Astyanax mexicanus: one gene and its partners. The protein of the gene in region 1 interacts with the protein of each later gene in a biochemical or structural test. Links are inferred from orthologs where the notes say so. Each region holds a gene or a part of one and is shown in the gene's direction. Other genes may lie near its edges.

Region 1 (7,515 bases):
TGTATAATGTATATTTATAATTCGCCAACTTCCTCTTCTTAAAACACAAAAAAACTTAAGACAATTGTTATGGCAATTTAAAAATTAGCATCGGATTAGATGTATAATTATTATAGAACAAAATGCAGACAAAAAAAATCAATAATTCATATATTCATATATTGCAATATGTTTTTTATTATTAAGGAGTAAACTTTATATTATAATAAAAAAGTACAAATCTTGCAAAGCTATCAAAATTGTCACATTTTATTTTGATTAGGTTCAATAAATCAGCTAGTAAGAAAATCACATTCTTACATAAGCCATTATCCTGAAGGGGTCGAATCAAATGATCTGATCATCTGAGGGTGTAGGAGATTTCACCACAAGTGGCCAGAATCATAAGAAGAACATTTTGACCAAAAGGTCAATCAGAATGATTAATAAATGTAAATGAAAACTTTGTAACTACAGTAAATATTGTAGACTATGTGTAACTACTTTGTACAACTCTCTGACCAGGAAACAAACAAATAAACCAAAATAATAATAATAAAACATTAAAATCTATCTATTACCAAGATCATGGTGCCAGATTTCTGGTTTTGAAAAGGAAAAGTAAACTATGTGTGGTGGGGGAGGACCAAAAAGACAAAGCAATTTCAATTACATTATTATACTATATTATTACACATTTGTTGGGTTATTAACCACAGCAACAACATTAAAACATTAAAAACACTCATTTCTAATATACAACTGTTACAATCCCAAAAGAGAATCAAGTTTAACCGCAGAATAAAACAATCTGAATAATTTACAGTCCTAATGAAAAGCTGATCATGAGCCTTTCAGAAATTTTAGAAATAAAAGCCAGAAAAAAGACAACTTTAACATTGTTTCAGTGTAAAATACTGTACACATAAAAAGTAAATATAATAATGGTAAATTGTAAAATATATAGTAAAATAAATTACAGGTAGACAATTTTACAGTGCATGACTTCTAATTCTTTATATTTGTTATTTGTTATAAATCAGATCCTCTCCTGTCTCCTGACTATGGGCTTTAAAGTAGATATCGTCATGTTTTCCTTCTTAGATGGCCATGGAGGGCTCCGGTCTGACGACTCCAGCAGATTACAGATGATGGACACAGTGAGTTCTTATCTTGTCTCTGCGTCTTTCTTTACGAACGACCGGCCTCCACACGTCAGAGAGATTTTACGTGACTTAAAGTCTGAAAAAAGTTAAAATAGATTAAATTAGTATAATTCTGGATTATACTTTACTAGAGACAACATGCTTTCTGCTGATTAAAAGTATCTGGATTGGAGCTGCCCTAGGTCTGGCCTTGAGCACTTTGACCAATGTTCAGCCTCACCCTTTTACAAGATAGTACCTCACAACTTATACAGGTGTAGGCCTTCCCAAACACAGTACCCAGCTAACAGTGAACATAAGAACATTTAGTAAGGTTCCAAGAAGGTTAGACTATAAAGTTCCAGAAATAAGGTTCCAGGAACATTATGAAAACATGTGACATAATAATAGTTTGCATCATTATTAGAACATTTATCCCATAGTGTTCTCAAATAGACAAATACTAACATTACAGAAATGTAAAAAAAAAAACAAACTATAAATTAATACATTGATACCAGTGACATTGCAGCAATGTTACCAGAATGCTTAATTTTTTTTAATTAAAAATCAAGAAAACTTGATAGAACATTCTAAAAACATTAACCCTTTCTGAGTCACAAAAACCTAAAACTTAAAAGTACATATGGTTATTGAAAAGAATATTTACAGAAGAGTCACTACATCACTACACACCTCCAAACTTCATGTAGCTTCAGATTAGATCAACAACAGTAGAGAACAGTAGCGAGACTCATGTAATGGAGAGTTTCCATGTCCGAACAGCTCCATCCAAGCCTACAGGTGCAGGTGAGCAATTTTTTTTTTTTTTATTGCAATATAGTGTATATAAATGCAAAAAGGGAGGGGAATATATAAACAAATACGACAGGTTGTTAATACACATTAATATTTGTGGTACTAACCTGCTAAAAATGCACTATTAAATTAAGTACATAATATATACTGTAATTTATAGTAGTGTTTAGTATGCAATTGGGACAGTGTTTTATGACTCATTAAACAGAAAGGGAAAATGGATATATATCCAAGGGTATATATATATATATATGATACAGCTTCAAAATAAAGAAAACCAATCACAACATACCTTCTACTAAAATCCTCTTCTGAACAGTTTAAAGTTTACCTGCTTTTTAAACTCCCTCTGTAGACACATTTTAAGTAGAACCTGCTTTTGCTCGTTTTCTCCTGTTCCCATACAAACATTGTCTGTGGAGTTTGACCATATTTGGACAGCTATTTTTTAAGATTCTCTCTGAGGACTGTTTGTACCTTAAAATAGCTTTTTTTGATTACTGAGTTGTAATCAAGGCCCATGTACTGAGGGCTCATTATTTACACAGATATTGTTTTAATCTCCTTTTATACCTTTTATACTGCATTAGTTGGAAATGATTCTTTATTCTCACAGCAGTGAGAGCTAACAAAGCTACAGTACTGTCTCCACGGGACAGGGTGAGTTTAAATATAGTGTTACAATTTGTAGTGTTACAATGTTTTACACAGCCTACTTATTTAATTAAATAATTTTAGTACGGTTCATAGAGGGGTTGTTTAAACCAGGCAACATAAAATAGTAATTGAATATTAATTAATTGAATAGACACATTCTGTACCACCTTAACATATTACAGTGGACCATTAATGTTGGGTAAGTAAACTTAAACAAAGGTAACAGTGCAAACAGTGTAATTAGTAAATGAGTGACACACGTTTTTACAAGCATATTTACCATCCTGTGTTTCTCTACTGTTTGTTCTTTTATGGTGGGCTCATGGGCCCACTGATTGTAACAGAATTGCCCCATTAGACTGGAGCACTACTGCTTCAGTCTAAAGTGTTCTTCCAGAACTGCGTCATGCAATCATATTTGTGTAAAATTCTGTAATAATTTTCTGTTATATTACTCTACCCCCTAAGTCCACATGCTTCACATAATTTCAGATGCCACCATATCTCTCAGCTTGTCCAGAAATGCATGCATAGAACTGTCCATGAAGGAAATGCACTCCAAGCATGATTGGTACCTATCAATTACTTTAGTATACATGAACACTGTAGTTCCATTTCCTTTTGTTCTATAGAAACAAAACACTTTCCACCACGTTGACAAATTGCAATCAACCCCTGCTTATTTGGTTGACCTGCCCCCTTTTCCTAGGCCAAGCACCTCTCAGACCACCATTATCATTACGCTTCCAGTGTAAAAACAGGATTTTTCCACTGCAGACGCATTTATGCGAAAGATAAGTAATGCGTCAAGGGTAAAAGTGTGGTTTATACATTGCACTACAACTCCAGCTACTCCATGTAATCAAGAGAATAGGTGCAATGCAGGTCTAATATATAATACTAAATTATTAATATTTGAAGAAAGCAACTTTCTCTTAAAAGCATTACTTGTGAGTCGGTTAAAGCAATGTATTTCAGAATGCAAATGAAATGGGCAAATGAAGCTGGGCTACTCATTATTTCATTATCAACTTTTCACTACAGTGTTTTTCAATTTGTAATTTATTGTATTTTTGCTCAGACTTTTTTATGGCTTTTTGCTCAATCAACATGGTAAAAATATTGATTAAAACTTTCTTAAGTTGTGTATCCCAAAGGGTTAACAAAACAGGCTTGGTCAATGTCAATTAGAAGATCAACAAGAGAAAACAAAAAAGGATAAATACTGTACCTTATAGTGGTGTATAGTAGTGTTTAGTATGCAATTGGAACACAGCCCTTACTTTTTATGGCTTTTCGCTCAATCAACGTGGTAAAAATGTTGATTAAAACTTTTCAAGTTTGATTTTTACAATGTGTGTATTGTTTAGTTTGCATTTGGAACACAGCCTTTAGTTTTTATTTATTTTTTGCTTAATGAACATGGTAAAACAAATGTATTAAAACTTACTTACTTACAGTGTATGTATTGTTCAGCCCAAGGGGTTAACCTATCTCTGGGGATTTCTCTCTAGTGCAGAATTAATACTAATACTAAAGTAATACATTAACATTTGGGGTGCTAACCAGTCAAAACCGCACTATTAAGATTAGTATATATTATATACTGCACCTTATAGTAGTGTTTAGCATGCAATTGGAACACAGCCCTACCTTTTAATGTGTTTTTGCTTAATCAACGAGGTTAAAATATTGATTAAAACTTTTTTAAGTTGGATTTTTTTACAGTGCATGTATTGTTTAGCCTAAGGGGTTAACAGAACAGGCTTGGTTAAATCTCAATTAGGAGATCAACCAGAGAGAGAGAGAGAGGGAGAGATAGAGAGAGAGAGAGAGAGAGAGAGAGAGAGAGAGAGAGAGAGAGAGAGAGAGAGAGAGAGAGAGGGGGTTGGAGTCTATCTCTGGGCATCTCTCTCCACCCCTATCTCTTTACGGGACTGCCAGCCCGTGCTGTGGTATTCCAGGAATGCGTGGTGAACATGGCGGCCGCGCTGAAGGCTCCCAAAAGCGGGCTGCTGGAGCTGCGCGTGGCGGTGGAGCGCTGGAGCCGCGTCCTGGCGGCTCTGACCGGGGACGCGCTCACCGTGAGCCCCGCCGAGGCCAACGAGGAGCCGGCTAAGAGCAAAGCCCCAGCCCCGGCGCCTCTGAACGGGGAACCGAGCAGCCTGTGCTGCCCCTCTGTCCCAGAACACATCAGCAGCGTCAAGCGCACAGTGAGGGTCACCAAGCAGGACGTCGGGGGACTCGGAATCAGCATTAAAGGTAAGATCTCTCAAAAGAAAAACTCAGCTAGACTATTACCAATGTCTCAGAATATCACTAAACGATGCGGTGAAGAAGTTGAGCAAACCAAAATGTGGCGCAACTATGAAGAAACTATTTTAAACATTGAAACACTGTTTTTTGTTTGCGAAAGTAAAGAAGTAGCAGCTTGTTAAAGGGCAATAAGTGTGAAAGGAAGGTCAGAAGGACTATATTTACATTTTAAAACAGATTTAGGCTTCAACTGAAACAGATATTAATAGATATAACTTTGTCCAGTATGTGTAGCTCCCCATAGAAAAGCTATAGCAGCAAATGAAGTCGGTAAATCAGTCCAATCCAGGATTTATGGTTGTTTATAATGACAGCTTTTAGTATGTATTCTTAACAGTCACACACTTTTTGAAAGAAATCTAGAGACACTTCTTGTACATTTTTTAGAAATGTTAGATTTTTTTTTAAAACAACTTACCGTGTTTTCCATACTTAAAGGAGAACTCCGGTGTAAAATGGACTTTTGGTGTAGTAAAACATGATAAAAAGTACTTACCTTTGATGAATGAGATCCAGACATTTTAACAGTTTGTCCAAACACCCTTCAGACTGGGTGACACAGGGCAAAAATTTCCCCGATAAGAAATCGATTTTTCCACCGTTATCCAGCTCAAAGTAGTTCCACGCCTCCTTGCTAGAATTCAGAGAGCCCTGTCATTTAAAACGAGGCATTAATAACTTTAAAAAGTTCACAAGAAGCTTATTAAAAAACACTGTTTACATCCTTTAATGCTAGCTTCAGCTCCAAGCACGCCATCACTGAACTGAAAATAACATAGACATATATATACTTAGATTTCGCATATTGTAGCAGCGTGGCAGACAGGCTGTGCGGAATCTATGTATATATATATATGTCTATGTGATGGCGGCATTCGAAGCTGAAGCAAGCGTTATAGGATATAAACGGTGGTTTTTAATAAGCTTCTTGTGCACTTTTTAAGTTATTAATGCCTCATTTTAAATGTCAGGGTTTTCCGGATTCTAGCAAGGAGGGGTGGAAAAAGCGATTTATAGGGGGAAAATTATGCCAAATGTCACCCTGTCTGAAGGGAGTTTGGACAAACGGTTACAATTTCTGGATCTCTGAACGCTGCGGAAGAACGGAGGTGTGTTGTTCATCAAATGTAAGTACTTTTTATCATGTTTTACTACACTTAAAGTCAATAGTTCTCCTTTAACTCTACTTCTTTCTAAAAAGGTATGTACAGTTGTAGCTTAGACAAAATCATTCAAAATCAAGTAGACTAGAGTGAAATTTCTAACTTTTAAGATAAAACTTGGTGGTAATGACAGGGACCAGGGGTTGCGATATTATAATCAATCCAATAAAAAAAAAGCCAATTTTATTGACCGAACAAAACCACCAGCTGCTTTATAAAATCTACAAATCAATGAATTCCAGTTGGAAACTATTGGGGGTAAAAAAACTAAAAACTACAAACTGAAGACTATAAGCTTTTTATTAGGCCTCATTATACCTGCCATGAATTCTCCACAGACTAAAAGTTAAAATTGAAATATGTTTTAGGACAAACATAAATTTGATCTAAAACCTGTTGCTAAACAGTGTCTCAGGCATGTTGCACTGTATTCACAACCATTAAATGCAAAACATTGTGAAAGGGAAATTTTTTTATTAGAGTCTATTATTAAGTCTGGTTTCTGTCACCAGAGCTATGAACATTTAAGTTGCTTCTCAACTGGCATTTCACACCAAACCATTCTAAACGACTTTGTTTAAAAATTAACGACTTGTTACCTCCTTTAACTGAGAACAAAAACTTAGTAGAACTTAGTAAGGTCTTCTTCCAACTAACTAGAACAACCTTATCTAATAGGTCTTAGTCTAATGTGTTATTAATAAAGCAATATACACTTAACCATGCATCAAAATGAACCACAGGACAAATACAATACGTTAAAACTGTGTGCAGTTCATGTTTGCAGTTGACTGCCCTTTGCAAAAGGATTGCTCTCACATGGAAAGGTCATCCGTAGAGCTTTACCAGTGTTACTCTGCTAGTAGATGTTTGTGGATCAGTAGGGCTTAGCTCACAGATTCTAGACCATAGCTCACAGATTTACACTGACACCTGGAATGCATGTTGATACTACCTAAAAACGAGTAGCAAGGACAAACGCTGAGTCAATAGCAGTAGATGTTTGGTAAGAATACAGAATTTTATGAAAACATTTGTGTATATATTTTTGTGTGTCTTTGGCCGACCTGTCCTGTTAAACCGCTGGATGGCCCTAGCAACCATGCTGCAGCCTGATTTCAACTTTTTCGCATTCTTATTATAACCTAGGCCATCTTTATTTTAGAGCTCCAATTCTTTTTCAGTTCCTCATAGTTGAGAAAGAGAGAGTTCTTTGCCATGAGGTGCCATGTTGAACTTCCAGTGACCAGTATGAGAGAGTGTGAGAGCGAGAACACCAAATTTAACACACCTGCTCCCCATTCACACCTGACAACTTGTAACACTAGTGAGTCACATGACACTGGGAAGGGAGTTTGTATGTAAGGATGTACTCACTTTGGTTGCAACTAGTTTATACATTCATTTACACTGTTATAGGAGCTGTACTCCAACTA
Region 2 (7,078 bases), on another chromosome or scaffold:
GAGACACAAGAACAACAAACTAAATAAACCACAATAACCTAAATAAAAGTAGGATTTGATCTGAAAACATTTGCGTGATTGGTTTACTGATAAAATCACCATATTTAGCTGCTCTGAGTAGAGACTGCTCCACAATTTCATTATGTGTAACATCACATCATGAGGAAAAACAGAATAAAAGTAAATGTAAAATTAAAGTTACCATGTCTTTAAACAGCTGTAACATAACATTTAGTGGTATAAAGTGCAGCTGGAGTCACTGTGCATCGTTCACTATTCACTATTCAGCGCACTTTGCACAAGGAGAGGCTGTTAGGAGAGAAATGCAGAAGAAGCCTTTTTTGAGCACACGCCACAAACAGAGTCACTTCAGGTATGCTAAAGCTAAAGCACATTTAGACAAGCAGCTTCATTTTGGAATAAGGTTCTGTGTGTGGACTGATGAAACTAAAGTTGAGTTAGTTGGAGGGCGGTTATTTATGCATGGAGGAAAATAAACACAGCATTCCAACACAAACACTTTACTGCTCCCCACAGTAAAATTTGTGCCGGTTCCATCATGCTGTTGGGCTGTGTGGTCAGTGTAGGTACTGGGAATCTTGTTAAAGTTGAGGGTTGCATGGATTTCAGTCAATATCAGCAGATTCTTGAAAACAATGTTGAAGAATCAGTGAGAAAGTTGAAGTTAAAGCACCGGGGCTAATGGATAATTCAACAAGACAATGACCCTAAACACCCTAAACACTGCTCAAAATCTACTAAAGCACTAAAGCATTCATACAGAGGAACAAGAACAACGTTTGGAGGCTGTTATTTTTGCATTTTGTCATTTTTCTGGGTGCCCAAATGTATTCATTTGTCTAATTTTTGCACACTTTCTGTAAATCCTATAAACTTCATTTCACTTCTCAATTATCACTGTGTTCATCTGCTATATGATATATTTAACTAAAATTGCTGATCCAAACAACCAATGAGTGAAAAATAAAAAAAGTGTATGTGAGGGAATGGGGGTTGGGTATTGACGAAACCATTCACTGAAAGACTTATGTTGAAAATATGTTGGTGTTACACCCATGAATTACACACAAAAGTTTAGCCACGCCCACAACTGCTTACATTGTTCACTAATTGCTGGTGCATGCTTATCAAATTTTGTTTGGGTGGGATTCTCCTACCTTTCCTATTAACTCCTGGCACCATCTACAGTGGCGTAAAAAAGTATTTGCCCCCTTACAGATTTCTTTTGTTTTTTTTTTTTCATTTTTGTCATACTTACATGTTTTAGATTATCAAACAAACTTTATCAGACAAATATAACCTGAGTAAATATAAAAAAGTACTTTTAAAATTATGATTTAATTTATTAAGAAAAAAAAAGCTATCCAAACTGTAATTAATCACGCTCAAATTTCACTACTAACCAAAACCAGGACTGATTACTGCCAGACCTGTAGAATCAAGAAATCACTTCAATAAAACCTCATGACAACATGAAGTAGATAAAATACCTCAAAAAGCAACACAACATGGAACAGAAAACATGGAACACTGGTGAACCTTCCCAGGAGTGACCGGCCGACCGAAATTACTCCAAAAGGGCATGAAGAACTCAGGATCTCACTAAGCCTCAGTTAAGATCAGTGTTAATAATTCAATAATAAGAAATAAGAGACTGAGTAACTAGTTTATAAATGAGTTTAATAATGTTATTAATTGGGTCATAAACCATTAATAAGCAGTTATAACACATTAACAGAAAGGGCAACAGTGGCCTACCATGTACCAAATAGGGATTCCACATTTGTTTATACTTTTAAACCTCAGATTTTACTAGATGCTTATCTTACTTTGCTTTTTCCATCATTCATCATTAACATTTAATAACAATTAACATTAAATGACTAAACTGACCTTCTATATTATTTAATTAGATATGTTAAAAAGGTCATTTTCACTGTCATTTATTAAGTGTTTATGAATGTTTTTACAGTTTTTACAACATAATTTATAATCATAAATAAAGTCCTTTCTAAACTATTTATAAATCCTCTATAAAAGAAGCCCTATTTTAAAGTGGTACAAGTTAGTTTTGTTTTTTAATAAGTATAAAAAGGTTATATTGATTCAATAAATTATTATTGACTATACCTTACATTTTTATATTAAAAAATCATGCTGGTTTAACAAGAATACATTATTACTTCATTATGTGCATTAATGATAGAAATGTATATATTTTTCAGTGGTACTTCTTGTGAAACCAGTGTTTCCAGTTCCCATCCAACACCAACTTTATCTTTGATCAAAATGAGAACAAACTGTTCTCTTTGAGAAGCTGGGTCTTGAGTTTGATACATGAGATTCACATGAAGATCCTTTTATAAATAGTTTCGGTTCTTATATTGAGATTTACTCATAAAACATTGAGAAACTCTGAGGATCTGTGAACACTGAGGGATTGACCAACTTTGGAACATTACACGTACACAGTGACATGCAAAAGTATTCATCCTTTTAATTTTGTTTTTTACATTTTGTCACCTTACGACCACAAACTTAAATGTATTATGCATGGTTTTCAAAATTTCAAATAAATTAAAATATGTAAAGTGTGCCTAGAAAATAGAAAATTTAAATCACAATTAAATACATTTGAATTTGTGGTGGTAAGGTGACAAATTATGAAAAAGTTCAAGGGGTATGAATATTTTTGAAAAACACTCTACAGGTAATTGATCATGGGTAAGAACTATTTAAGCATTTTAACGAACAAACCTTCTTTTTAAAAGGTGGAACCTCGAATCCCAGTCATGCAGCTTGCCATTGGCTACCAGAGCCCTGAAAGAGCACAGTTGGCCTTGCTCTCTCTGGGTGGGTACGGTAGATGGTGCTCTTTCTCCTCATCACTCCTAGGGTGATGTTGATCAGCACAAGTCTGCGTCTTGTCTTCACATGTATCGGAGGAGGCATGTGTTGGTCTTTACCCTCCTTGTGTTGTGGCATCACAAAATTCAATGTATATATATTTACTATGCTAAAGTTTTAGGCACCAAAGCAAATTACACTAATCCATTTTCTCAGCAATATGAGTGTTTTCACATATAAAAAAGCACCACATATGATTTAAACAGATGCAAATAAACACAAATACAGGAAAACGTAACAAGAAATTCTCATTTTTAACTATAAGTATATTATATCCTGTGAGCCGAGCTGAAGAACAAAGTATAGAGATTCCAGATTTCTCCTGTATCCTCCTGCTCAGCCAGCATGTGTATATTATGTCCAGTTCCGTCAGCAGCACACCTGATTTACCACATTTACAAATTTACCAAACCAGGTGTTGATTAATATGATGAGAACTAGAAATGTAACTCTATTAAACTCAGATTAGGAGAGACTATGAGATGATTTAAGGAAAACTGTAATAGTTGAACACTGCTGATGCTGCATAAAACTGTGCATAGGTACTTGATCATTAAGAGGAACCCATTAACCATCAATGTCTTTAGTCTTATAGAAAAATTAAGTTTAATATTTTTAAACAGTGGAAGATCCACTGAAACACTTTTAAACTTTTAAAACCATTTGAAAAACCTAAAGGTTCTCTATAGTGCTCTGAGCAATCACTTAACCAGAAGAAGAGCTTGTGTGTTTGAATGTGGTTTTCTTTAGAAATATCACATTTTCTTTCTTTTTGTTTTAATTATTTTTATTGCAGATTTTGAAGGATAGAAAACAAAAACTCACAGAAAGATAAAATAACATGAAGTAAAACAGAAAATAATGGTGCAGAGATTAAATAATGATAAATATGCCAATATAAGGAGATATACCAATATAACATAGAAAACAACAACAAAAAAATACAAATTAAAAGCCAATAACACTTAAAATTCACTTAAAATTACTTTGTCTAAGGAACCTTTAAAGAACCCCGTACGCGCCTGTGATTCCCCTCGCGCGCTCCCCCGCGCGCTTCCCTCGCGCGCGCTCCTCCTCCTCTTCCGCTCGCGGGTGGAGCGTCAGTATCTGCGGGTATAAGAGCGCGAGGAGACGCACCTGCCCGGGAGAGCGCGCGCACACCGCGGAAAGGAGCACGAGACAGCATGCCGGTGAGCTGCGTGTACCGGGGGACGCTCGCGCACTCCACGCGGGACACTCCGCTGCAGATCCTCGAGGACTCTGTGCTGGGGGTGGATCACCGGGGGAAGGTGCGTAAACACGCAGCGCTGACCTGCAGCACGTGATTAATCATATATACATATATAACTATATAACTAAATATCATGGTTGAAATATGGTAAACAAAGTTAAAACAACATTTAACGTTAAATTGTGTTAAAATATTAACTTTGAATCAACATCATGTCCTCAACCTTCTGCTTTTTGAATTAGAATTTAACATTTCATCACCATATAATTTCTAAAAACGATTGGATGAAGGAATGAAAAAGTGGTTGCAAGTTTTAGGTGCAAATGTTGAATTTAGGAAGTCAGGACACTTATTTCATCATCTTTACGTAAATATAAGTTAAGACTACTTGATGCAAACAGCTCAGCTCTACATAAAACGTACACACCCCTGTATACAGTATATTTTGGAAAATAAGATAAATGTAACCATATATGATGTACCAATAGTTGAATACAAACATACATACTGTAGGTATTAATAAATATAACCACTACTTTTTCTAAAAAGGGGCTATAAAATACCTGATGCAGCAACTGTATAACAGAGAAATAATTTTTAAAAAGAAAATTAACTGTATTTACTAAAATAGTTAAAAAATACTGAATTTTTTAAACATCGGTTTTTCTGTATCTCCTGTCAGCTGACTGTCAGCTGCAGATGTCTGTTCTTATTCTTAGACCACAGTGTATACAGCTCAGACTCAGTAGGCCAGAATATTAAAATTTTATACATTCAAAAAATGTTATACATCTGATCAAATGCATCATGGGATTGGTACTTAAAAATATGTGTCACAAATAACTTCTAAAATGATTAAATTGTTAAGTAATGTCTAAACTAATTATTAATTGACACTTGTAAAGACGGTACTTATCACAGTTTACATGGTATAAGCTACCGTCATCTTTCACCTAGGGCACTGCGAGCTAGTAATGCTTTAATAAAAGAAAAATTGCCTATAAAAGCAACGTATGCAATAGAATCATTGCAATAAACTTAACTAATAGAGATTTTAAAGAATTTAAAGAACATAAAGTTTTAAATACGTAATTAATTACAGGGAACAAATTACCTTAAATGATTTTAGTAGACTTAACTTATTAGGGTTTACAGATTGAACCTACAGGCCACTGTGGTTGGCTCTATGGCTGGGCTTATTTAGGTTAATTCTAGTGTTATATAGAGTTTGACAGGGTCAATACTGCACAGCACTGTATACTCATGAGGCCTAGATATACAAGACAGCTCTCTTTCTGTACAGATCATACAGTGAGACTTTAGTCTGTGGTCACAGCGGCTCTGCTGCTGAACTTGCTGGAACAACAGTAAAGTGACTTTGACCTTAGATATCAGCCCAAACAGTCTACTTTACCACTGCGTGTTTCTGAGGACCAGCAGCTGTGTGCTGAATTCAATATGTATTGGAAATGAGGGTTTAGGCTTTATTATATTCAAGTATGTGTATACCTGTTACGGTAATTATTACATATATATACACTTATAGTATAATAATATATGGGTGTAACCCTAATATAAAACTGGACTGAACTCTACACTGTTCATTATGTTTATTTGTTGCATGAATTTTAGCAGAGAGGTTGATTTTAGTCAAAGTTAAAAGTGCATTTATGGTGTCACGACTGGCTCTAGGCCGTGACAAATGAATGGAAGACACACAGTGTTTAAATGGCAAAAAATATAAATTTAATGAAGAAATTAGAAAAAGGTTCATGTCCAGACATTTATAAACAAAAAGGCGGCCCAAAGAAAACCTATGTATCAACAAAAAACAACTAAAGCATAATGTCAAACAGAACCAAACCAAGCAGGCCCAGAAAACTGAGCTGCCTGCAGCAAACAGAACAAAAGAAAGGCCTCCCGCAGCACACCTACACAGGTGCATATATTGATTAGGTCTGTAGCCCCACCCCCTAACACCCAATCAGGGGACAGGCACGTCACACACCCCCCCTTAAAAAAAAAAAAAAAAAAAAAGAAAAAGAAAAACAGAACTCCAACAGCTTTGATCCAGTCCTGCCAGCTCCATGTTTCAAGTCCACTCCACACAACCTCCTCATTCACCAGTCTCCACCAGCAACCCTGGCGCCTAGGAAGCAATTTAAGGTAGAGCCAAGAGGGAGAGAAAGCAAAAGAGCAAAATTAAAACACTGGAGAAAAACAAGACAGCAGCCTGAATTTATTTACCCAGTGGACCACGGGACAGGGCATCAGCAATTACATTATCCTGGCCCTTGATATGCCGTATGTCTAGGTGGTACCCCTGTAAAAACAGACACCATCTCATCAATCGCTGGTTCGGATTCTGTAAAGAATGCAAAAAAGTCAAGGGGTTATGATCAGTATACACTAGCCGTACAAGCCGTACCCACATAGACCTCAAAGTGTTTCAGGGCCCAAATTAGGGCCAAAGCCTCCTTTTCTATTACAGAATAATTCAACTGGTAAGAATAAAATTTTCTTGAGAAAAAACCAACAGGGTGATCAACCCCATACTCAGAAGCCTGCATCAGAACTGCCCCAGCACCAACATTGCTGGCATCAACCTGCAATTTAAAACACTGATCCAAACGAGGTGCGGCTAAAACTGGAGCGACTGTTAGAAGTAGCTTTAATTCCTCAAAAGCTTGCTGACAATTTGGAGTCCAATCAAACTTAACTTGATTTCGTAGCAAATTAGTAAGGGGTGCTGCCACTACTGAGAAATTTCTGCAGAAGGCACGGTAGTACCCAACCATCCCAAGAAAACGCATCAATTCTTTTTTTGTGACTGGAGGAGGAAACTGGTCAATAGCTTGCACTTTCGACTTCAACGGGCACACTTTTCCCTGCCCCACAACCATTCCCAGATAGTTAACA
Region 3 (7,392 bases), about 47 Mb from region 1:
TCAGCTAAACATTCATAACAAGGTCATTAGCAGAAGACACTTTAATCTTTATAATATAAACGGAGATAACACACTAGACATAGCTCTTCATTGTTTAACCCTCTATCCTGTTATTCTTGTTGTTGTCTATATATTGCAATACATTTGTTTACAGCAATTAAGCCCATTTTAATAAACTTTAGAAGAAGTTTCTTCACTCTCTGGTAAAGCAGGGTCATTACCACACATGGCTAGCCTAGGGGTTAAAGAAATGTATTTATTTAAAGTTATTTTTATTATTCTCAAAAACCTATATATCTTACAGCAAAGAATTCAAAGTTAGAACAGGACCAAAACATATGAAGAAGAGAAAATATTTTGCATTCTTGGGCAAAACAAATCAAGTCAACATGTCTTCTGTGTGGATAATCATCTCAAAAAATATATATCTTCTTTTATTGGCCACCCCTACTTTAGGGTATAGAAAGTAATGGAGGGAGGCTAATCCTGGAGTCATAATTATAATTTCAGACGTATTACCACCCAAATACTGAGCACTGCAATCATCCTGCCAAGATATAAACTCTCATATTCACGAACTTGTGGAACTGTGGAATTATTTTCAGTTGCTTTAACCGCAGCCCTTTCTGTTGTTGATCAGCTCAGTGCAGTGTAACACCACAGCATTTCAACAGAACTGAATCACGGATGTCTGCTGATTTATTTCTGGGTCTTGGCTTAGTTGTTATATGGACTAACCCAAATTCTTTTGAGTTTTAAATCACAAAGTGACTTTCTAACATAATGCCACAGAATTTGCAGATACAATTTAAAGTACCATTTTTAATGATCCTGTGCTGTTCAGACTGTGGAGCTTCACCACAACCTCACACTCTCTCAGCCTCGCCTCACAGTGGGGATTTTGGTGTCAGTATTAGATTCTAAACAAACAACACTATGTTTCTGTTGTGTTAAACACATACTGTTTGTGTGTGTGTGTGCGCACTCTAAAAAGGGATTTTGTGTTCTAGTCAGGAGAACTAATATTATCTAATATTATCTAATATTATCAATAAAAAATATGATTTAAACCAACTTTTAGTTATACTACACGTGTCAATGCTATTTTCATCAGTGTTGGTTCGTACAGCTTTTTTTTTCATAGGCTCCTGGCACCATATATTTGCATATTGGGTGTGGCCTCTCCCTTACTTACCATCTTTGTGTTGTCTGTTGCCCAAGGCTACCTTATCTTAGTCGTGCATTAGTATAATATATTTGTTGATTGCCAGGCCTCAGTGTTGTAGGCTGTAAGAGCAAGTTACCTCTATTCTGTGCTCCTAGTTGTCACAGTATGTGTTTTACTTTCAGTAGTGGCAGTTCTATAAAAAATATCTTAAATATGTTGAAAATACCTATATATATCTTAAATAAACTAAATTCTTTAAGCCTGCAAAACTGCTGAGCTAATTAAACTATTGTTTTGTGAACAAAACTCCGTTAGGTTAAATAAACATAACTGATTAATCTGTTATCATTTAGATTTGACTCAGTGAAGTTGAATAAACATAAAATTGTATGTATTTACAACGTAACTGAGTAATATTGACTTGACTGAGCTACGTTGAGCCCATGAATATTTTTCTACAGTGTGTGTGTGTGTGTGTGTGTGTGTGTGTCTTTCACCATTCCCTTTATCAATGTACTGCCCACCTGTTCTGTCTCTCATTGTGCGTCTTTCATGCACTGCCCTTTCAGAGGCTTAGCCAACGGATAACCTATAAAGAACATACGAGAGAGAAAAGTAGAAAAACAGAGAAAGAGAGAGAAAGCAGTATTGACTAGAACAAAACACTGGCATGGCTTGTACCGCTCCATCCACTTCCATGCAGGTCTCTAAAGCTTACTAATATCCAGTATTTGTCACAGTATATCTAAAACTGTACTCTATTCACTATAAAGTGCACCAACTACACTGCCTGGTCAGAAAAGTCTCCACCTGGATGTAAGTAAGTAAATTATGTGGGGTTGGTTGATGCTGCAGTTGCTCTGCAGGTTTAGGTTCAGCAACAGTATGTGCTGATAGAATGAGGTCAGCTGACTACCTGAATATACTGAATATAGACCAGGTTATTCCATCAATGGATTTTATATTTCTTCCCTGATGGCACAGCCATATTCCAAGATGACAATGCCAGGATTCATGGGGCTGGAATTGTGAAATAGTTCAGGGTTCAGGGAGCATGAGATCTTCATTTTCACACATGGATTGAAAGAGTTCCCCACAGAGTCCAGATCTTAACCTCATTGAGAATCTTTGGGATGTGCTGGATGGAGAAGAGCTGCTTTGTGCAGCGGTTGGTCAGACTCTACCATCATCAATGCTGCTGCAAGATCTTGGTGAAAAATTAATGCAACACTGGATTTAAAAATAAATAATGTGACATTGCACAAGCTTATTAAAACAATGCCACAGCGAATGTGTGCCGCAATCAAAGCTGAAGGTGAGCCAACCAAATATTAGAGTTTGTGACCTTTTTTTTTGGTCATGCAGTTTAATTAAACCTGTTCATCTAAGCAGAAAAACTGGATTAAAAAGTGCAGGAGTGATTTTTAATGCGATTCTTTTTCTGTCAGCCCTTACTGCAAGTTACACTTATTGTTGTAAAAAAGCTAAAATATGGACTGAAATGCTCTCTGATTTCTTTGTGCTGGTACTGAGAGAGAGAGCGGGATCAACATGTGGTATTTCTTCACTCACAGCAGCACAGTGTGGTTTTTTTTTCTGTTGCTTGAAGACTGAACTTTTTTTTGAGGCCATTGCAATGCTGAGCTCTACTTACAATGCCCTTCTTTGTTGGTTTTGTGGCCAAAAAGCAGAATTCTAACAAACACATCTTATCAAAAGGCTCTAAACCTAAAATGAGAACTGTTCAAAGGGAATATCCTTTAGCTCAGTTGTTTCATATATTCACCTAAGGCAGTCCTGGGAACCCCGTACATGTTGGTATCTCTGTCTCTCAGGCAGTAGTCATGGGCAGTGGGCCTGCTTTTAAAACCAGGTTTGGAGACCAATACTCTAACACACCTGACCCAATAGGTGACAGATTTGTTAATTATTAATGAGGTAAATGATGTGTGGGATAGAGGAACCACTTAAAAATGGGCACAAACAATATCTGTGGCCCACTTGTGTACTAAACACTAATACTATAAATAATTGCTAACATGTTTATCTTAAAACATTGACTTATATTATTGCTTTGACTGGAACAAATCTATACTTAATGACAGTAAATATGTAAAATAGCTTCCACATCTTCCACATTTAAAACACTGGAGAGAGCACAATCTGAGCTCAAGGACTTCAAAGGCAACGTCTAATCAGATTTGTAGTTACATTGGGTCAATATTAAATCACGTTTCTGTTTCATATTTCTGTCAGGCTGGTTCCTGTCACCCCTTCTAGGGATGGGAATCACAGGGCATCTCACAATACAGTATTATTGTGATGTATTTCCCATGGCAATGATGAAATCATCATACTGGGATTAGAATAAAATACTCCTAAATAAGCAAATATCAGGAATTTGTTGGATAGAATTTATTGGTGTCACATAGCAACACCATAGCAACCATCATGAACACCTGAGGAACCACTTAGGGGGGGCTAGGGAGGGGGGTTAGATAGCTTGGGGGAGTTGATTAAGTTGTTAAAAAATAAAGAATGTTTGTTAATGTAACATTGAAATTGATCAATAAAGGAAAAAAAGACCAATATTTATTTATTTATTTATTTATTACATTTTTTTAAATCTTTGTTTTATTTTATATTGTATTGCTAAGGAGAGCACACTGAATCTCAATGTCCTTGTACAATGACGTTTAATGTCAATGTACAACATTTAATGTCATTTTACAAGGACATCGAGATTCAGTGTGCTCTCTTTAGCAATACAATATAAAATGAATCAAAGATAAAAAAAATAACTAAATTAATTAATTTTCTCTTTTAATTCTAGATAAACGCTTAGTTATTAAATGCTGCTATGACTTTTGTCTACTTTTGTCCCAAATGTACTTTTTCCTACAGAATGGACTGTCCTTGAAGTGCTTCTTTTCTCAGTTATCAGTCAGTTTACTACAGAACTGACTGATAAAAAAGTGATAAAAAAAAGGTGAAGGTTGATGGTATTTCACAATTTTAAGCTGTTTTTAATGATAACAGTACACACTTTACACTCTGTTGTGCAGCAGTGACAGCTCCAGGCTCCTGGAAATGTGCACCTCGGGGACAATGGACCAATGGGCTGCGAGGGAACACGCCCTGGGCCGATAGCGAGCTGCGCCCTCGCGGGCAGCTGGGCGGCGTCCTTCATCTACAGCGCTGCCGGCTGTCTTTACGATGCAACAGCAGCAGCGCGAGAGCAGCAGCGCGAGCGCCTCCGTCACCTGCTGATTACCATGTGCACGCGGGGAAGTTACACAACAGTTTATGAGGAATCTGTTCAGAAGTGAGGAGGAAAGTGAGCGAGGCAGCGCGCGGATGAGCGGGTGAAGCTCCGGAGCGGATAATAATCGATATGGAGCCCGTGGGCAAAGATGTGAAGACTAATCCGGCCGCCTCTGCTAATATTGTGTCTCAGATACTGTTCTGGTGAGTGAGCTAGCCGGTTACTGCGGGCTGTGAGAGTTTATATAGGTTAGCTAAGTGTGTATGGAGGCTGTTTTAGGCTACTGGGGAAGAAATAACCTTTATAAAATAAATACTGAGGAATTATTTTACCTGGACATAACCTATCTAACATATGTCAGGAAGTTCAACTGAGGAAATTAGCTAATTAAAGTTAATAAGCTATAGGTTAGCTAACTACTAGCAGAGGCTAATGAGCAAGAGCTAGCCAGATTAGCTAAACTAAAAGCTAGCTTACTCATACAGCAGCAGCAGCAGAAGGAAAAGAAGTAACGTTAACGTTTACAGTGCAGGCTGTAGTTACTATTTTTATTCATTTATTTTTATTTACTCACACACGTGATCCCCCTCCCCTCTTGGCTACAAAATCCAGTGACTGACATTAACTACATAACCTAACTAAAGTTATCTGTCTATAAAGTTGTTTTTGGTTCTCAGCATGCATGTGCTTTTTCTGTAGGGCTAAAGTATAACAATGTTAATAATGTCATAAAAATGTAATTCAGAATTAAAAACGCTACCTGAAATTTTCCACTACGTTACCTTTAACTACAAAAGTTTAAACTTTTCCAAAGTCTTAAAGTCTAAACTGGATCTGTAGCTAATGTATTTATTATAGTAAATACATAGTTACCTAACTTTTAGTGCTCAGATTTAGTTTTGTATTAGCTAAATTAGCTAATTGGTTAAATAGGTTCTCTAGGTAGGTTATTGTTGGTTGTCAGCTTGACTCTTGATTATGCTTTTCCTATAGGGACTCACCTTAGCTAGCCTTTAACAACGTTAATAATGTTATAAAAATGTCATTAATAACTAAAAACGCTACCTGGCACTTTCCCACTGCCTTTAAATACAAAATTCTAAAGTTTTCTAAAGTACTAAAGTCTAGTAGCTAATGTATTTTTTATAGTAAATACATAGTTACCTAGCTATTAGTGCTGATTTATTTTTGTATTTGCTAAATTAGTCAAATAGGTTCTCTGGGTAGGTTATTAGTTACCTTACCTGGCTGTTGTTCAGCTTTACAGTTGCTGGTTGTCAGCTTGACTCTTGATGATCCTTTCCTAAAGAGAATCACCTAGAATCACTAGTTAGCTAACTAGCTAAATAGTTAAATAACTATGTTTTTATAATGCCCTAAAACACCAGAGAATGGAATAAAAGAAAAAGATAGAATGAAAAGAAAGGTCATTTTTTATTTCAGATGTATTTTTTTATTAGTTAGCTAACTAGCTAACCTGCCTGCTGTTGACCTTTTTACAGGAAAGTAAACATCTCACAAAAGCACAGCTGTTTCCCTTTGCTGCCGTTTTTAGCAGCATTTGAACTTGAGTTTCATCTCATCATTTTATCTAATAAGAACGTAGACAAAAACAGTAGCTGTGGGTCATTTTACATTGTGAAACATTGGCTTTTTTGCTAGCTTTGCTGCTGTTGAGAATTTTCACTTTCAGTTTCGGGAAGCCCTGTGCTGTGTCTTCCTTCTCTTTTTTTTTTTTTACTCAGCTGGCTGAACCCCCTGTTTCGCATTGGATACAAACGAAAACTTGAGGAAGATGACATGTTTAAAGTGCTTCCTGAGGACGAGTCGAAGAGACTGGGAGGGGAACTTCAGAGGTATGTAAACAAATAAAGCTGTACACAGGACACAAAAAACATCACCCATGCTTAGAATACTGAGCTGCTCTGCTTATCCATGTGTTCTTAAATAAAGTCTTGATTTGTTTATGTCTTGCTGTGTTTACTAACTACATTGGGAGGTACAAAGGTTATACTTCCTGTCAGTCCATTTAGTTGCTAACCAAATTTTGGTTTGGAAATGTCAGTCCTATTAAATGTTCAAAGTCTATGGTGGTGAAGTGTGAATAGTGTTACTAAATACTGTGGTTTTTAATGCATGCCAAGGTTATTGCTTAATGCGGCACCTCAGAGCTGTTTTTATAAGGCTAGTGGAATGGGAGCTGCAGGGAAAGGAAGCATTTTCACACTGTCAGTACATGTTGCACTGACATCTATAGCATGTGTGTGTGACATGTAATGAAGGAACAGACGCTTGTAATGTTTGTAGAGCCTGTGTGCCAAGGGTGGAAGTATGGTTGCGTCGGATAATACAATCAGTTCACTTAAGCACCTGCTGGGGCTTCATGTGGAAGAGTACCAGGAGCTAATGCTACCCAAACCAGAAATGCAATAAAGTTTGATATGGTTAAAGGAATTGAGCCCAGGCTTAGGAGGGTTTTTATTTGTTCCTTCTCACAGTATTGGATTATTTTCTTTGTCAGTCTGAGTATTTGGCAATTGGCAGTTGAGGCAATAGAACATGAACCATGAACACAGTGTTATGCTGTGCTTCTGGACCATGTTAAGCCAGTATCAGATTGTCATGGTTGTTGTTGGGTTCAGGACTTATCATCTTTTATCTTATTTCATCTATTACATGTATGTTACTCATCAGAAAACCCAAAAGCTAAAGGGCAGCAGAGTATATACACAGGGTCTAATGCAGTCTGTCAAGGAAAATGTCAGAAATGTAGTGGAAAATTGCTATATCTTTTTGTACATCTGAGTTACAACTTATTTGTAGTTTATTCGGTTAGTCTCAGTTAGCGAAAAAACAGCCAGTTAACTTTTTTAGCCATTTTTAAACATGCTGGACTGTCTAGTATGTGTTCTTGCTCCTCTAATCATAATCCGCCCATCACTCATCAATCATATGTGCT
Region 4 (7,708 bases), on another chromosome or scaffold:
AGCACAGCTCCATCCATCTGTTATCAACCCCCAGAACCTACTAATCTAACCAGCACAGCTCCATCCATCTGTTATCAACCCCCAGAACCTACTAATCTAACCAGCACAGCTCCATCCATCTGTTATCAACCCCCAGAACCTACTAATCTAACCAGCACAGCTCCATCCATCTGTTATCAACCCCCAGAACCTACTAATCTAACCAGCACAGCTCCATCCATCTGTTATCAACCCCCAGCACCTACTAATCTAACCAGCACAGTACCATCTATCTGTTATTAAACCCCAGAATCTACTAATCTAACCAGCACAGCACCATCCATCTGTTATCAAACCCCAGAATCTACTAATCTAACCAGCACAGCTCCATCCATCTGTTATCAAACCCCACAACCTACTAATCTAACCAGCACAGCTCCATCCATCTGTTATTAAACCCCAGAATCTACTAATCTAACCAGCACAGCACCATCCATCTGTTATTAAACCCCAGAATCTACTAATCTAACCAGCACAGCACCATCCATCTGTTATTAAACCCCACAACCTACTAATCTAACCAGCACAGCTCCATCCATCTGTTATTAAACCCCAGAATCTACTAATCTAACCAGCACAGCTCCATCCATCTGTTATTAAACCCCACAACCTACTAATCTAACCAGCACAGCTCCATCCATCTGTTATTAAACCTCAGAACCTACTCATCTAACCAGCACAGCACCATCCATCTGTTATCAAACCCCAGAACCTACTAATCTAACCAGCATAGCTCCATCCATCTTTTATCAAACCCCAGAAACTACTAATCTAACCAGCACATCTCCATCCATTTGTTATCAAACCCCAGAACCTACTAATCTAATCAGCATAGCTCCATCCATTTGTTATCAAACCCCAGAACCTACTAATCTAACCAGCACATCTCCATCCATTTGTTATCAAACCCCAGAACCTACTAATCTAACCAGCACAGCTCCATCCATCTGTTATCAAACCCCAGAACCTACTAATCTAACCAGCACAGCACCATCCATCTGTTATCAAACCCCAGAACCTACTAATCTAACCAGCACAGAACAATCCATCTGTTATTAAACCCCAGAACCTACTAATATAACCAGCACAGCTCCATCCATCTGTTATTAAACCCCACAACCTACTAATCTAACCAGCACAGCACCATCCATCTGTTATTAAACCCCACAACCTACTAATCTAACCAGCACAGCACCATCCATCTGTTATTAAACCCCACAACCTATTAATCTAACCAGCACAGCTCCATCCATCTGTTATTAAACCCCAGAATCTACTAATCTAACCAGCACAGCACCATCCATCTGTTATCAAACCCCAGAATCTACTAATCTAACCAGCACAGCTCCATCCATCTGTTATCAAACCCCACAACCTACTAATCTAACCAGCACAGCACCATCCATCTGTTATTAAACCCCACAACCTACTAATCTAACCAGCACAGCTCCATCCATCTGTTATTAAACCCCAGAACCTACTAATCTAACCAGCACAGAACAATCCATCTGTTATCAAACCCCAGAACCTATTAATCTAACCAGCACAGCACCATCCATCTGTTATTAAACCCCACAACCTACTAATCTAACCAGTACAGCACCATCCATCTGTTATCAAACCCCACAACCTACTAATCTAACCAGCACAGCTCCATCCATCTGTTATCAAACCCCAGAACCTACTAATCTAACCAGCACAGCTCCATCCATCTGTTATCAAACCCCAGAACCTACTAATCTAACCAGCACAGCTCCATCCATCTGTTATCAACCCCCAGAACCTACTAATCTAACCAGCACAGCTCCATCCATCTGTTATCAACCCCCAGAACCTACTAATCTAACCAGCACAGCTCCATCCATCTGTTATCAACCCCCAGAACCTACTAATCTAACCAGCACAGCTCCATCCATCTGTTATCAACCCCCAGAACCTACTAATCTAACCAGCACAGCTCCATCCATCTGTTATCAACCCCCAGCACCTACTAATCTAACCAGCACAGTACCATCTATCTGTTATTAAACCCCAGAATCTACTAATCTAACCAGCACAGCACCATCCATCTGTTATCAAACCCCAGAATCTACTAATCTAACCAGCACAGCTCCATCCATCTGTTATCAAACCCCACAACCTACTAATCTAACCAGCACAGCTCCATCCATCTGTTATTAAACCCCAGAATCTACTAATCTAACCAGCACAGCACCATCCATCTGTTATTAAACCCCAGAATCTACTAATCTAACCAGCACAGCACCATCCATCTGTTATTAAACCCCACAACCTACTAATCTAACCAGCACAGCTCCATCCATCTGTTATTAAACCCCAGAATCTACTAATCTAACCAGCACAGCTCCATCCATCTGTTATTAAACCCCACAACCTACTAATCTAACCAGCACAGCTCCATCCATCTGTTATTAAACCTCAGAACCTACTCATCTAACCAGCACAGCACCATCCATCTGTTATCAAACCCCAGAACCTACTAATCTAACCAGCATAGCTCCATCCATCTTTTATCAAACCCCAGAAACTACTAATCTAACCAGCACATCTCCATCCATTTGTTATCAAACCCCAGAACCTACTAATCTAATCAGCATAGCTCCATCCATTTGTTATCAAACCCCAGAACCTACTAATCTAACCAGCACATCTCCATCCATTTGTTATCAAACCCCAGAACCTACTAATCTAACCAGCACAGCTCCATCCATCTGTTATCAAACCCCAGAACCTACTAATCTAACCAGCACAGCACCATCCATCTGTTATCAAACCCCAGAACCTACTAATCTAACCAGCACAGAACAATCCATCTGTTATTAAACCCCAGAACCTACTAATATAACCAGCACAGCTCCATCCATCTGTTATTAAACCCCACAACCTACTAATCTAACCAGCAGAGCACCATCCATCTGTTATTAAACCCCACAACCTACTAATCTAACCAGCACAGCACCATCCATCTGTTATTAAACCCCACAACCTATTAATCTAACCAGCACAGCTCCATCCATCTGTTATTAAACCCCAGAATCTACTAATCTAACCAGCACAGCACCATCCATCTGTTATCAAACCCCAGAATCTACTAATCTAACCAGCACAGCTCCATCCATCTGTTATCAAACCCCACAACCTACTAATCTAACCAGCACAGCACCATCCATCTGTTATTAAACCCCACAACCTACTAATCTAACCAGCACAGCTCCATCCATCTGTTATTAAACCCCAGAACCTACTAATCTAACCAGCACAGAACAATCCATCTGTTATCAAACCCCAGAACCTACTAATCTAACCAGCACAGTACCATCTATCTGTTATTAAACCCCACAACCTACTAATGCACTGTTTGTCTATACAGATCTACTATAAATGTCACTAAAATGTCCTAACAACAACTTATTTTTTTTTGCTCCTTTGTTGAATTAGTGTTATTATTTAGTATTCAATGTTTGATTTATTTTGAATAATAATATTTAATAATAATTAATGAATAACATTTTATATAAATAAATAGTTTTAATTAAACATTTCATTATAAACAATACTATTATTTTTATTTAGGACAGAAAAAATAAGTTTCGTACTGTTTAATTAAAAATACAATTGATTACTACTCATTTTATTAATTTTGTATAGTTTTATTAACGAATTAATTAATTACCATTGTTAATTTTACATCCAGTGGGGTATAAAATAAAGGTCTTTGCGAAAATTTGAATTTTATTATAAGAAAATTGGTCTTATATGTGCTTATTTTCTGAAACAGTAGATCAATATTCTACACTTTTATACACAGTCACATAATCTACCACCTGACTGAAATTAAGGAGGAACAGAAGATCTGAGAACATCATTTCTGAGCACAAGGTGGCAGAATAACATCTTCAGACAGAGAGAAGCGGATTTCTGCTCTTCTGTTCAGGCTGGTACATCACCGAATCCTTTAGGACACGTGAGGACGCAATAGAGGGCAGCAAATAAGGCATGTTTTCCGATATGTTTTTAAAACCCTCGTTGCCCTCTAGTTCTACTAGTGCTAAAAACTGATTATTACTTTTATGTAAAAAACTAGGTGAAACTTCGGCAAGTAAAAGGGATCCTCTGCACTGACTGCAAGTCATGTCATACATTGTTCTGTTGTCAATATATATATAATATACTTATATAACAATATAATATACTTTTTCGTTTATGTTTCAAATGCATTCATCTTCTTTTTACTATACCTTTTTATTTACCAATGTTAATCTTTATAATACTTAAAACATATCTTTTCAGTGTTTTTTGTGTCGTACTGGTTGTAATGGTTGTATTTTTGTTTTGAGTACATTTATATTAGCTGTAGATAATAAATATTTAGTCTAAATTGTTCAGATTTTCTTCACTAGACACTGGTGTAGGTTTGGCAGTTGGCTTGGGGCTATTCAGACTTTTTTATTACACGCTTAGAAAGTTTATACAATATACTTACACTAACACTCTTCAGTCTAGACTTCATTAATCCTTCTGTTACTAAATAGATTTGGAGCGACTTAAAGCGCGTGGTTAATATTCCGGGCGTGGCCTGATTAATATTCATGAGCGCGAGCTGACAGGCGCGCGCGCGCGGGGGGAGGAAAAAGTTCGAGTTTCCAAACTTTCCACCGAGCGGATTCTCCAGCAGCAGCAGCAGCAGCGGGACAGCGGGGCAGGAGGACCGGGCCGGATAACCTTCAAACTCTCATTTAAAACTGTTTTATTGTGTTTTTGTTTTGAGTTAAAACTTTTTTACACTAAAGACAGAAAATCACAGCAGCGCTTAGCCGCTGGGGAGAGCGCGGGTCGTGTTTTTGAGGAGAGAGCTCCAGCACTTCTTGGTTCCCCCCGTCCCAACTTTTCTGTTCCGCCGAGCGAAATGAGCAACAACCCGGTGCAGCCCCTGCCGGGCCAGCAGGTCATCCATGTGGCGAAGGACCCGGACACGGACCTGGAGGCGCTGTTTAACGCGGTCATGAACCCGAGGCCGAGCTCCTGGAGGAAGAAACACATGCCCGAGTCCTTCTTCAGGGAGCCGGACTCGGGCTCCCACTCCCGACAGTCCAGCACGGACTCGGGCAGCGGGCCGGCGCGGCTGCCGGTGCAGCACGTCCGCTCGCACTCCTCCCCGGCCAGCCTGCAGCTCGGCCCGGGCACGGGGACCGGAGCGGTCCCGCCCTCTGCGCACCACGTCCACATCCGCCACCAGTCCTTCGATGTGACCGAGGAGCTGCCCCTGCCCCCCGGCTGGGAGATGGCCTTCACTTCCAACGGCCAGAAATACTTTCTCAAGTAAGTACAGCTTAACTGATAGGCAAAGAACGTTAAATAGACGTTAAATCTTTGTTTGCATTACAGCTTGATGAGTTGATCATGGATAACTACATTTAAACAAACTTTATTTAACTTTCATCAATAGGTTTATTCAACATCATCAATAGGTTAGCTAGTTTTTCTACACTCACACTAAGCTACTATTAATAATATAATTGTTGCTACTTAAATGCACCTTTCTACACTTCAGCAGTAAAAATAATAGAAAAGTATTTTATCTCAAGTAATTTCAGACTTAAACACAAAGAACGTTTAGTAAAAACGTTCGCATCTCAACTTCTAGTGCTGATGATGGAAAAACAACATTAAAACAACCTTTTGTTTACGTTTGCACCATAGGCTTCAACAACAGGTTGGGTAGTGTTGGAATTCTGACGTTGAGGGAACGTTCATTTTAACAGCTAAAGTTTTGTAGGGTTTGGGCTGAGCTCTTCTACACTCACAATTAGCCCAGTGTTAAATGCATTTAGGCAAAATGTCCCTTTCTGCTCTGCAGTGTAGATTTAAGTAAAGTTTAACACGAACAACAGATTTAGAATCATAACGTTGAATTAGGGCTGGGTGATATTGTAAAAAAAAAAGTTCTTAGATAATTTAGTTTTTTTGTTTGTAAACAGGCAGCACCATGTAAGGTGACACAAAAGAAAGCTATTGTTTCCTTTAGATTCGTAAAAAAATCACTGCCACATTTAAGATAGAAGCAAGTCTATCTGAAATAAAATTGAAATATGAACGTTGATTCAGCATACTTTTGCTATCTGGCTACTGTTGTGTGATTGGAAACTTGAGCCTTAGCAACAGCTTAATGAGTTCTAGCAGCTTAGGGGGGGAGAGATTTGGCAACCTGTGGGGCCTAAAAACAAAACCTCAGGAGAACTGTACAGTGATTTACAGTGATTTACTTCATAACTAAAATGTAATTTGACCATCCTTGCTGCTGCCACATGTAGAAGACCTGTTCCATTTAGGTCTGCCTCACTTTTGTGGTTAATAGGGTTACAACTAATGATTATTTTAGTGGTTGAATAATCAGTCAATTATTTTTCAGATTACTCAAATAGTAAACGATTATTTCTGCTGCCCCATTCATCTCTGCTTCCTGTGGGTACGGCTCCTGTTCCTTGCTTTCTCTATCACTTCAAAACAATAGAAACCGCTGAATGTGGGATTTAGATGCTCTTTAAATGTTCAGATGATGTTTAAAGATGAAAAGTTTTGATGTTTACTCACTATGTATGTAATCTGTTGTGTTAAGTCACTTTTGGTGACTAAACTAAGTGTGAACCAAGTGAGTGAGCAGCACTTAACCTCCCCGTGTTTTTGTGTTCCTGTCCCCAGTATTTTGTATAGTGCATTTGTTACAAATTAGTTGAGATTTGAAATGTGAAATTCTTATAATCAACATTGTTGATTTTGTCATCTAACCATTGCTGGCAACTGAAAAGCTCAGAAGTGCTGTACTGTGATTTACTTTGCATTGTAATTTGCCACACATAGTCAGCTGTTCCACATTTAGGTTTCACTAGTGTTGTTAACACAGTTGCCCCAAATCTCCCCTTCTTTCTCCAGGGGAGAATGATGGGTGATGTTTAGGATTGAAACAGTAGTAATAAATAATATACACTCATGTCAGCTATAAGTTTGATTGAAGATCTGTGGTGTGCCCACGCAACAACCTAAGGACCTCAAATTCCGATTATTTCCGATGACGTGATTTCCGATTTCCAGTTCTCATGAGACTGGAGACTGTTTTTTCATGAAACAGTAAACTATTAAATCTGGTAGAAGTTTCACTCAAAGCCTCTATCACTGCAGTAAGGCAGCTGGTGGGTTCAGTTTGGTGAGTTTCTAAGTTGAATGAAACTACCTTAACGTTCTTTTGTCCTTTGGTGTTGTTGTAGTTTCTTGCTGATTTCTGGTCAGGTAGGCATGTCAGATAGAATCAGATCAAATAGATTTATATAGCATTTATTTGTGTTTACAACTAACACTGTAACAAAGCGGCTTTAAAAGTATACAGTATTAGGACAAAAGATCAATACTGTGCATTATCAGAGGTGAAAAAGTACTGAAGAATTGTAATTAAGTAAAAGTACATTTACTTTGCTAAACTTCTACTCAAGTAAAAGTAAAAAGGTACTCAATTTAAAAAGGTACTTTGAGTAAAAGTTACATAGTTACTTTTAAGTATGTGATGTAAAAAAGTACAACAAATAATAAATTAAATCGGTTTTAATGAACTATTAATTCCACATAATAATTTGGACCTTTCAGGCAGTATTTGTTC

The links.
Region 2: the proteins of snta1 (region 1) and gda interact in a test that uses a peptide from one of them, tested with the Homo sapiens proteins (2 studies listed by BioGRID and IntAct). The link is inferred for Astyanax mexicanus from reciprocal best matches to the Homo sapiens genes SNTA1 and GDA.
Region 3: the proteins of snta1 (region 1) and abcc4 form a complex in vitro, tested with the Homo sapiens proteins (2 studies listed by BioGRID and IntAct, with this or other methods). The link is inferred for Astyanax mexicanus from reciprocal best matches to the Homo sapiens genes SNTA1 and ABCC4.
Region 4: the proteins of snta1 (region 1) and wwtr1 interact in a test that uses a peptide from one of them, tested with the Homo sapiens proteins (2 studies listed by IntAct, with this or other methods). The link is inferred for Astyanax mexicanus from reciprocal best matches to the Homo sapiens genes SNTA1 and WWTR1.

The regions. Positions count from the first base shown.
Region 1 is NC_064412.1:8,278,685-8,286,199, forward strand, and holds the start of snta1 (alpha-1-syntrophin), read left to right. Parts: upstream 1-4,508; 5' UTR 4,509-4,579; coding exon 4,580-4,862; intron 4,863-7,515. UniProt on the Homo sapiens protein: Adapter protein that binds to and probably organizes the subcellular localization of a variety of membrane proteins. May link various receptors to the actin cytoskeleton and the extracellular matrix via the dystrophin glycoprotein complex.
Region 2 is NC_064429.1:8,214,651-8,221,728, reverse strand, and holds the start of gda (guanine deaminase), read left to right. Parts: upstream 1-4,065; 5' UTR 4,066-4,112; coding exon 4,113-4,217; intron 4,218-7,078. UniProt on the Homo sapiens protein: Catalyzes the hydrolytic deamination of guanine, producing xanthine and ammonia.
Region 3 is NC_064412.1:55,549,216-55,556,607, forward strand, and holds the start of abcc4 (multidrug resistance-associated protein 4), read left to right. Parts: upstream 1-4,371; 5' UTR 4,372-4,562; coding exon 4,563-4,636; intron 4,637-6,178; coding exon 6,179-6,289; intron 6,290-7,392. UniProt on the Homo sapiens protein: ATP-dependent transporter of the ATP-binding cassette (ABC) family that actively extrudes physiological compounds and xenobiotics from cells.
Region 4 is NC_064423.1:915,804-923,511, reverse strand, and holds the start of wwtr1 (WW domain-containing transcription regulator protein 1), read left to right. Parts: upstream 1-4,699; 5' UTR 4,700-4,966; coding exon 4,967-5,379; intron 5,380-7,708. UniProt on the Homo sapiens protein: Transcriptional coactivator which acts as a downstream regulatory target in the Hippo signaling pathway that plays a pivotal role in organ size control and tumor suppression by restricting proliferation and promoting apoptosis.